Schizosaccharomyces pombe: one gene and its partner. The protein of the gene in region 2 interacts with the protein of the main gene of each other region in a pairwise test. Each region holds a gene or a part of one and is shown on either strand. Other genes may lie near its edges.

The links.
Region 1: the proteins of fra2 (region 2) and fep1 interact in a protein complementation assay, tested with the Schizosaccharomyces pombe proteins (one study listed by BioGRID).

The regions. Positions count from the first base shown.
Region 1 is NC_003424.3:440,227-446,500, reverse strand, and holds fep1 (Fe-sensing transcription factor Fep1), read right to left. Parts: upstream 4,281-6,274; 5' UTR 2,933-4,280; coding exon 1,238-2,932; 3' UTR 780-1,237; downstream 1-779. UniProt on the Schizosaccharomyces pombe protein: Transcriptional repressor that binds the consensus promoter sequence 5'-[AT]GATAA-3' during iron-replete conditions to down-regulate transcription of target genes. Represses the expression of the iron transporter fio1 in response to high iron concentrations.
Region 2 is NC_003424.3:3,656,869-3,660,344, reverse strand, and holds fra2 (iron-sensor Fra2), read right to left. Parts: upstream 1,257-3,476; 5' UTR 1,214-1,256; coding exon 1,154-1,213; intron 1,075-1,153; coding exon 925-1,074; exon of another isoform or gene 819-924; coding exon 774-818; 3' UTR 521-773; downstream 1-520. Other genes in the region: rrp14 (ribosome biogenesis protein Rrp14-N), read left to right, coding at 1,324-1,338, 1,384-1,467, 1,513-1,878; protein mug129, read left to right, coding at 2,988-3,476.

The DNA of each region.
Region 1 (6,274 bases), 3.2 Mb from region 2:
CGAGAGGCATTCAATTGCCTATTTATCTGATTCATATTGCGAGTATTATTCTACGATCGCATTTGCTCTCTTCTACAGGCTTAACACTTTGGAAATGATGAACGAAAAATGTGAAGTTCATTAATTTGTATTCATTTTCCAAATTATTGCATTAATGTGTTAGCTCTTTCATGCTAAAGACTACTACCTAAACTCGTTGATTTCAACTTGCAGAAAACAATATTACAATACACTTGAAAGTATAGTCAGCGGAGAATAGAACAAATGGAGTAAATTATTATAACAATCCAAAAATATGTTACATTGCTGTTAAGATTCAGAAAAGCTTAGGATGTTTAGAGTAGTAGTGTAGATTAACTGTTTATCAATATTATACTAAAACATCTCATTATGGTTCAAGTTCGCTATTGTTGAATTTTACAAAAAGTCTAGTCCCGCCGGGGATCGAACCCGGGACCTTCTCCGTGTGAAGGAGAAATCATACCACTAGAACACGGGACTGTTGGTTGTTAACAGAAAAACTAAATGATATATATCATAATTACATTATTATTGATTTAAATAGATTAAATAATGAATAGCGAAGTTATTTGAGCTGAAAATTAAGTGTAAGTTTTTTATATATGTGCTGTAATGAACAATTAAAATTTCAGCCTAATCATATAGTTTTAAAAGTCAAGCAATGACTTTTTGCGAATGAACTAATTAACCATGGATACTGCTTTTTACAAGCAACTCCATTTTCCGTTTTAAATAGTTGTATACAAATGTTTTTTCCCCCGAAAAATTGTAAAAATATATTAATGAATTGACAATTTCCAAATGAGTTTGCACTCGGGCAGTTTAAATATATTTAATATATTAACTATCTACATACCATATAAATCCGGTAGTATTATTTTTTCTCAATATCTGCTTTTTCGATGCGTATTAATATCATAAAAAATGCTCCACATAGGATTTCATTAAAAACATATATGTTAACTCTAAATTTAACGGTAAATCGCTAAGGACTGAATATTATTTTCCAGCTCTTAACGAATATAACACCGCAGACGGACTTGGCCAATACCAAAACTAACGCAAAACAAAAGACCAATAAGAATCATGTGAAGTATTTTACCCTAAACTCATAGTATACAATGTCATGCTTGTAAGTAATAGACAGCTAAACGGGATAATATCTAATTTGTTTACCATAAATAAATATGCCGCACGACAAACATGCCAATCAAGTTTATGTTTGAAGAGCTCCAGATGCAACAACAGCAGGGGTTGAGGATTTAATATGTTCAGAAGCCATATTTTCATTGTCAGAGGACCTCAGCCATTCATCTATTTGTTGAATGTGCTGATTTAAATTGTGCAACTCCTGAATCATTAAATCATGCTGAGAACGCAATTGCGAAAGAACATTCAAAGCATAATTGCGTTTATCTACATTTGATCCCTGAACTTCAGGAGGAAACTGCAAAGAAACCGGCGAGGTAGAGGATTGGATTAAAGGAGCTTGCTGAGATTGCGAAGGTGAAACTTCTGATTTCGGTCCATTTGACATTGATGGCTGCTTGTCGGAATTTGAGGGTGGCTCTTCGGGGTTAAGTAAGGAAGCAATTCCTTCAGCAATCCTTGGCTTTGCAGAAGTTCGAGGAGGCAAACAGACTGACTCGCCAACAGGAAGGATAGGAGGTAAATGAAACTTCATGCCTAAGGGGTTGGATTGGTTGGCAGTTGCAACGCCATTATTATCCGTGTTCGATGTTGTAGATTCCGATAATTGCTTACTAGAATCATTGCCAACTGCTACAAGCTGACCAGGGTATACTACTTGATTAGCTCGTATACCATTGGGAACATACTCATTTTGGTAAGGAGGCAATCCTTCATGCTTGTTCTCAGGAAGAGGCAATATTGATTGTTCCTGAGTAGGACCATATGAGTAATAAACTTTCCCATTATTATCAGGTTCACCAGCCGCTAACCGTGACAATGTCATCAATGGTGAAGGATTGAACGAAGAAGGCAAGAACCCGGTAAAATTGCTGTTGTATGAAGGAAATGTACTAGCCGGAGGTAATACTCCAGTATTCATTCCATGCTCAGCCAGACCTTCACCAGAATTTCCAGAAGCATGGCCATTACCATTGGGAAAAGATTTAGAAAAAGGACCATCCCTTGTAGACTGTTGCTTAACGGAAGATCCGGAATCCCCACTTGACATTCTTTTTAAGTTGTGTTGCGACTCATTCGCATTACCGTTAAAAACCAGCCTTTTTCGACGTTTAATGATTGCCTTCTTCATGGTAACGGGACGATGTACCCCATGAATTTTGTAATACAAACCACAAGCATTACAGATCGGATTACCCGACTCGTCGCGGCGCCACAAAGGAGTATTTGTGGTAGCACAGTTTTGGCAAAAAGTAACACTTGGTTCATGAGGAGGAGATGAGTCTTCATGCTGGTTATGACTAGAACGTCGTCTACTAGTGCCATTGCTAGTTTCAGTCGTGGTATCTGAAACGATTTGAGGTTTCGATTCTAGAGGTGTAGGCGAAGCTTTGGTTTCAGTGCTAGAGGGTACACTGCTAGGATTGGGAGATAGACTTTTGCGTCCGCTCTGAGACTTAGAAGCATTGAGACTTCTTATACGATTATTTAAAGCAGGACAACCAGTACATGAAGCACTGCCACCCGTACCGTTACAGAATCCATCTCCAGCACAGGTTCCGTTTTTACAAACTTGCTGTATCAGTGGAGAAATGTCTTTTAAATCTTCAGATTTGACAGGACGGGCATGCTTGCGATGTTTTTGATATAAGCCACAAGCATTGCACAAAAGGGAATTATCGGGGCCACGACGCCATAAAGAAGTAGTAGTTTTGTGGCAGTTGGAACAACTTTGGCCAAAAGGAGCAGGTTTCGCAGCCATTTTTTTGGTGATATGTAAAAAAGTTAATTACGAACGAATCAAAGTAAATGCTAGCTTTAAGTGAGTTGTACTGAACGAAATGATCCAAGCTTATTCACAATGGAAAATAAAAAAAAACAAGAAAACGATTGTATCGATATGTACAAATTGCAAAATTGATTGAACCCAGATGAGAACCGATGGATTGGATTCAAAAAATTTTGAGATTTCCGTAATGGATTGACAAGAAATTATAAATAATAAATTATTCTTCCTTGATAAAAAAAAAACAACAAAAATATGTGTAAAATATTAAAATGGAGAGAAAGGAATGCGCACGTTCCAATTATGATAAATATAAAAAGGGAATAAAGGAGTCAGAGAGAGATGCAAAAAAGCATAAATCTCCAAAAGTGAATTCAAAAATCACTATTAACAGAGAATATGTTAAAAGGTGACAGAACTTCGTGAATGATTTATTTTCCGGAATTTTAACGGAAACACAACAAGCATAGGACAAAAAAAGGAAAGAAATAGGAAAGGTAATACTGTTCAGTAAAACCAACAAAAAATAAAAGCCTTAAAGTACCAAGGCACCAAATTTCAAAGGTAGTACGAGAGATACTACGGATGGGATAATAAGAACAAAAATAAGAACGTGAAAGTTTTAACAGAGTGTTAAAGGAAACTTTTCAACAAAGTTAAAAAGTTAAAGATACAATAAATAGAAAACCGACTCGCAGAAAACAAAGAGCCTATCCTATGAAAAGGAATGGCAAAGCAAAAAATGTAAAAAAAAAAAAGAGTAAAGAAACCTTGGAGAATTCGAACAGTTTCCAATGGTGGTTAAATAAACCAAGATGCAACCTATGAATTGAGCGGAGAAATAGATACCAAAAAGTCAATTATCATAAAGCAAATTCAAAGAAGTGAAGAAGCTTTTTGATGGAGAATATTCACCAAATCCAGTAAGATGAGAGTGAACTAATGAAAAGAGTCTTTATCACACCAACAGATCAAAAGAACTGAGATGAAAAGTAAAAAAATCGTGATGAGAGCAAAAAATCTTTATTAGAAGAAGATCCTTGCAAATAACTCATACGGCGATAGTAGTTGTGAAAAAGATAAGTCAAAAACTAACTTTGCGTAGAAAAGAGAAGGAAAAAACGAGAAATAAATGAATTTTCAAGGCAAAGTCGCTCAGACTCCGAGAAAAAGGAAGAGCACTTAAACTTTATCGACAACAGTACTATTAAATAGTAAAAGATAACGATCAAAAACAATACAAGTAACTTTATCTATAAGCTGTCTTTTAATACTTGTAGAAGAAGAATGGTTGTGGGCAAATTTTGTTTATGCAGATATGTGTGAGCTTAGATAGGGAAGGAGATCGGGTAATTATATTGAAAATCCAATTGCGGTGGTGGTGGTTCAGGTAATATGGCCCAATCAGCAGAAATGAAATTATCAAGTAACGAAGGGGTAACAATCAGGCACCGAAAAAGCGAGACCAAAAGGGAGGCAGTTTTACAAAGAGCGCGGAAGACTGCGTTAAAACGATGGACTGAACAGTCAACCAGTCCAGCAGAACGAGCCTTAGGTGCAATAAGTAGAGTATTTTCTTCTAGGAAGAAAAGGATAACCGGATTCGAAATAAATGATAAAACTACGATAAGGTAAATTTATGTAGTAAAACAACCGGTATTTGTGTTATGGCGAAGAACCCGGCAAGAGTGTAACTATGGACTTGGAGCAAGACAAAAGAGACTTAACAAATGTAAGTGGTTTCTCAGTTTTACGTAAACAAAAGCTGATGGCCAAAATCGACAAATTTTTGCGGCCTCAGGGTTAAAAAAAGAAAGATGTGATTATGGTTGCCTGAAGCGGATAAAAAGATTAATCCAACTTGCAGAAAAAGGATGACCAAATTTAATGAAACTAGATTTTGGTGTGACCAAAAAAAAAAAAAAAAAAAGAACTTCCCAGATATCTAAATATATAATTATATCTATATAAGGGTATATGAGCAACACTATAAACGGTGTAAGTGTTCAATTTTGTAAGAAATAATCGACGATAGATAGGGGATAAGAACCAACACGGTAAATGACAATCAAGGATCAAACGAGAGCAATTAGGATATTAAATAGTGCTAAACCAAAACGAACAAAAAGGAGAATTGATTGCAGAGAAAGCGTTTAGAAGAGCGTTAAAACGGATGTTCAAGGAAGAGAAACTATCAACAGTGGTGGGCGAGCGGGTTGCAATGGTTTTACCAACTTTTACTATTTAGTGATGGTGAGGGAGATTGAATTGCCTGTTGTAGTTGCTGAATGCTTTTGTTTGATGTTGAGAGAATATGTTTGGAAAAGAGATAATCATATATTCAGTTCAGCAATACCAACTTTATCAAAATATATTTCCACTTTAATTTTTATACTCCATGCAGATAAAGTAGCTGAGATTTGTAAAAATCGTAAATCACTGAGCTCGAGTCTCGACAAGATGGTGTAGATCGATTTTGGCCAATTACATAAAGAACGATAATGATTTCAAAACCACGTGCGATAAAGCCTATATTTATCGACGGAGATATGAAATGAATTTTTCTCGGCAAATAGCAATGTGATGGATAGATTGCAAGAGGAAAGGAGAAAATGGGGGTGAGCGTTTATCGACCTGGTTAGGTTGCTGGATACCAAAGGAAAACCCACGCATCTTAGCTATTGAAATTCCTCGGAAATATGGAAATCATCTTATAGAGGAGAAAGAGTAGATGGGAAAATAAAATATAGAAAAAAATAAAAAACAGTATGCAAAAAACCATGTATGAAGCGGTGAGAATGGAAAATGTATTAGTAAGAGCATTAAAAAACCGAATATACAAAAATTTTGTGTTTTCTTAAACATCGTACTGTTTTTTTAAATAAATGGATTTTTGATAATGGATCTTATTTAATATTTCAACGTATGCTTTGGTTGTTTTGAAATTAGGTAGAGTTCATTACATATGGCTTATTAACTTAACTTGTAAAGACTGTTCTTTTCATATCTGAATTTGATATTCCCATATTGTTCACGAACTAGTCTCATGGATATAGTCTTTACTGATGTCTATTGATTGTACGTAGAATATCATGGTATGAACTTATTTACTTTTTTGAGTCGAGTTAACTTTACCTTATTTCATTGAATGTAATTTATTATTTATTTTATTTAGTTTTATTGATTTCATTTGTTTTTATATTTTTAAAGTATTATTTCATTCATCTGTCGCATATTTTTTATTATTTTATTTTATCGATTTTTTAGTTTCAATTTTTTATTTCTAGCCTACGCATTGGTTGACACTTAATCAATTAA
Region 2 (3,476 bases):
TAGTATTGGAAGAGATATCGATCATATTTATGGTACGAAAGTTTAGAATAGTCTTGAAAAGTTGTTCATTATATTATGTATTAAAAAAATCATTTATACAGTCTTCATTTTCTTGTTAATGAGTTTGTCATTGATATTATCACAGTCGTTTATGCAAAGAAATACTCAAGTTAGAGTGTTATTATTATTTGCTTAGTATAGAACAACTCTTTGATTCTTCAAATTTACAGTTTCGAGTTGATTTTTGAAGTAATCGTAGTTTAACAAGAAGAGCAATTACCTTTCGAGTGATGGAATTATGTGAAAGAAGTATTGAAACATTAGTATGAGATAAAATTATCAAAACTTTTAGGTTAAGAAAACACAATTTGGTGACAAGGGCTAGGTATGCATATTATTTATAATAAATCCTTGATAGATCCCCTTACTCGTATAAACAAAGGAGATCGAACAGTCAAAAATCTTAGCAGCATCTTATACAATTTATGTAGTGCTCTCTAAAAATTTGCCAAAACATCCTATGTATTAGGAACTTTAAAGCAAAAGGTATATATGGTTATAATAAACCATATCTTTTCTCTGGGGCAATTTGACATGCTTCAAAAAAAAAAAAAAAAAAAGAAGGTATTAGTATGTACCTTCTGTAAGGGAATAAGGGGTGCTACAACTATTTTAAAGAAAGTAATTTGTACATTAAAAGTATGCCAATTGCTTTGAAGAGCTGTCACGAAAATAGAAAGGAAGTAAAAGAGAAAGCATTAGAATATGTGGTATTATTTTGCTTGAAGAGCTTCCCATTGTGCCGGACTATAACATTTCTGCATTTAAAGTTAGTAACTGATTAAGAATAGTTGAAAGCATTTTTTTTTTTCAGATTCCTTCTTCTTTTTTCTATCTTATATGCCTGAAACTTAGAGTACGAACCTGAGTAAAGGCATGGATATCCTTGATCACCTCTTGAAGTTTGTGATTCACAAGACGGTGACGAGCTAGCGTGCTTTTCCCTTCAAACAGAGGGGAAACAATGATTACTTCGAAGTTCTGGCCACATCCTCCAGACATATCTTGGATCTCCTATATAAGTATCAGTAAAATGGTTTGCTTAAAGTAATGTGAAACCAAAAAATAAAAATAAAAATTTTGCTCAACGTACAATGTGGGTAGGTTCTAATGTATTTTGTATCAAAAGCTCAAGTTGTTGTGCATTTACCATGTTTTATAAACGTTGTCGATTGAAGTTATGTTATGGTTCTTTTCAAGATGTGTATTCGCTTTCAACCAACTAGGTGTTCTCCTGTCAAAATCTCTAAAACCCTTAAAAAGATGACAGAAGTCGAAGTAAGACATAGACATTAAGTATTATATATTAATTGAGTATATTAGGAAAGGATTAATGCTTGGAATGACGGGTTCGAAGAGCTTTTAAGTTATATCCCTGCAAAGCTCTACTATCGCGAGCATACAGCGGTATGTGAGATATTTGGAATAATTATGTTTAACTGTTCAATTTAGAATCAATGGAAACAGAAAAAATCTACGCTAGAGGAGAAGAAAGAACGCCGAAAAATGAAATTTAGCTTGGATGGTCTTGTTAACGATGCGGACGATGATAGTCAAAAATCTTCAAAGTGGGAACAGTCTTCGACTATGAGTGATGATACAGATGTTTCAGATCGTCATGCTGAAAGCATGTCACAGATCAGAGGTAAACTAGCATCAAAGATTCAGGATTTGCGTGAGAAGAGGAAAGCCGGTGACTTGAATCAAAAACGACAAAATAAGCGTCCTGTCGAGAATGAAAAGGATTCTCAAAAGGGATCAGGAAAAAGCAAGGTTCAAAAGAAGAAACACAAGGCATCTCCTCGTGCTGGTTTCTAAGCTTTGTTGCCTTAAAGAGTAAATTCATCAAAAGAGGCAAACCCTGACAAAAAACTAAAACGTTAATACAAAGGTTCTGGATAATAGAGGATTAAAAAAGTACTATTTTTTTGAGAAAATTATTTCTTTTGTCTTTCGCAAGTTGGTTAAAAAATTCAAGGATGGACGGATACGGTTGGGAGCGGGCTTTTATTTTATTGCAGTTCGATTTAGTATAATTCTTATTTAAATATTCTTTGGTCTTATTTTTTGTATCGTCCTACCATTGTTAACGTTAGTTTTGAGGCATCAAGGCAGCATACCTCACAGGTTTCCAATGCACGCATTGATGATTTCCTGCAAAAATGATTTTAAAGGACAAACGCGTAATATTATAGCCTTCTACTTATCTTTATAAGTGTAAATGTATGTTTCAGATTTTATTTCGCTTCTGCTGTTTATTTTTCCTTCACTAAGCAGTTTAACATATGAAAAGTTGGATTGCTTATTTAGTAAATCTTGTAACGTTTGATGAAGTGGATCGTCAAATGTATTCTTAGAGTTTACAAGAGCAACGCCTTGAGACGTCCCATGGTTTTTTGTTTGTATATGAAAGTTTTTGTTTTAGTATAAGAAGATACAAGCAAAATGAATTGAGCAGACAATTTGTTTCTAGTATTATCATTAGTGCTTCAATAGATGCTCTGTAGTCATACTCAATGTACTTACTATAGTATTTTAGTGTGTATGAGTTTATATATACTACTAGTATCATTTGACTTGACTCATCAGTAGTGCATCCTCAGTTTACTACGACTGCATGCACCGTCTATCATTTCAATATCGCATTATATCTCTTTCCTTTCCGCTGTTTATTCTTTTAATGTTTTTCATTAGGCAAGCTATTAATTATTAATTGATTTTAATTGTCAATACTGCTCACCTTGCTAACATAACCCGTCGTTTGTCATCATCAATAAAACCCTTACTACGGCAACCTCTGAGTATTAGATAGTTCTGTTTTTGTTTTTTATTTTTTTAATCTTTTTTTTATTGTTGATTTTTTATATCTCGCGCGGTCGTTTTGTTTTCCAATTTTAAACTTATCTGTCCAAATAATCAAACTTGTGATGCTATGGAGAATCCTAACTTGCTGCAAGAGCCCCGAAGAAGATAAGGATGAGCATAAGAAGAAACCTCCTAATGTAGGACATGCGCATTTAAGCGTTGTTTCACCATTGAACGAGCTAGCAAGTGAAAAATCAAGATCTAGCTTATGCATAGAGTGGACAATAGATTCTTTGCGACAGTTTGTACAGCAACTTTCAGTTAGACAGAATATGTCAAAAGATCGTCGAGAAGCTTTAACGTATTTTATTAACTCCTACAATGATTTATTTCATGATGTATACTATGGTGATGGTCGATCCATGTCGAAGACGGAGGAAGCACAGACCATAGTGACATTTACCATTGGTTCTTACTTGTACAAATACACCCATCCATCAGAACTGTTTTGGCAAAGGCTTAGTGACAATATGGCAAATATAGAAGATGATGGTACGTGTACGGAGGCTCAACTAGCTTTTCGAAAAAGGGCAGCTTTATCAAAACTTGGG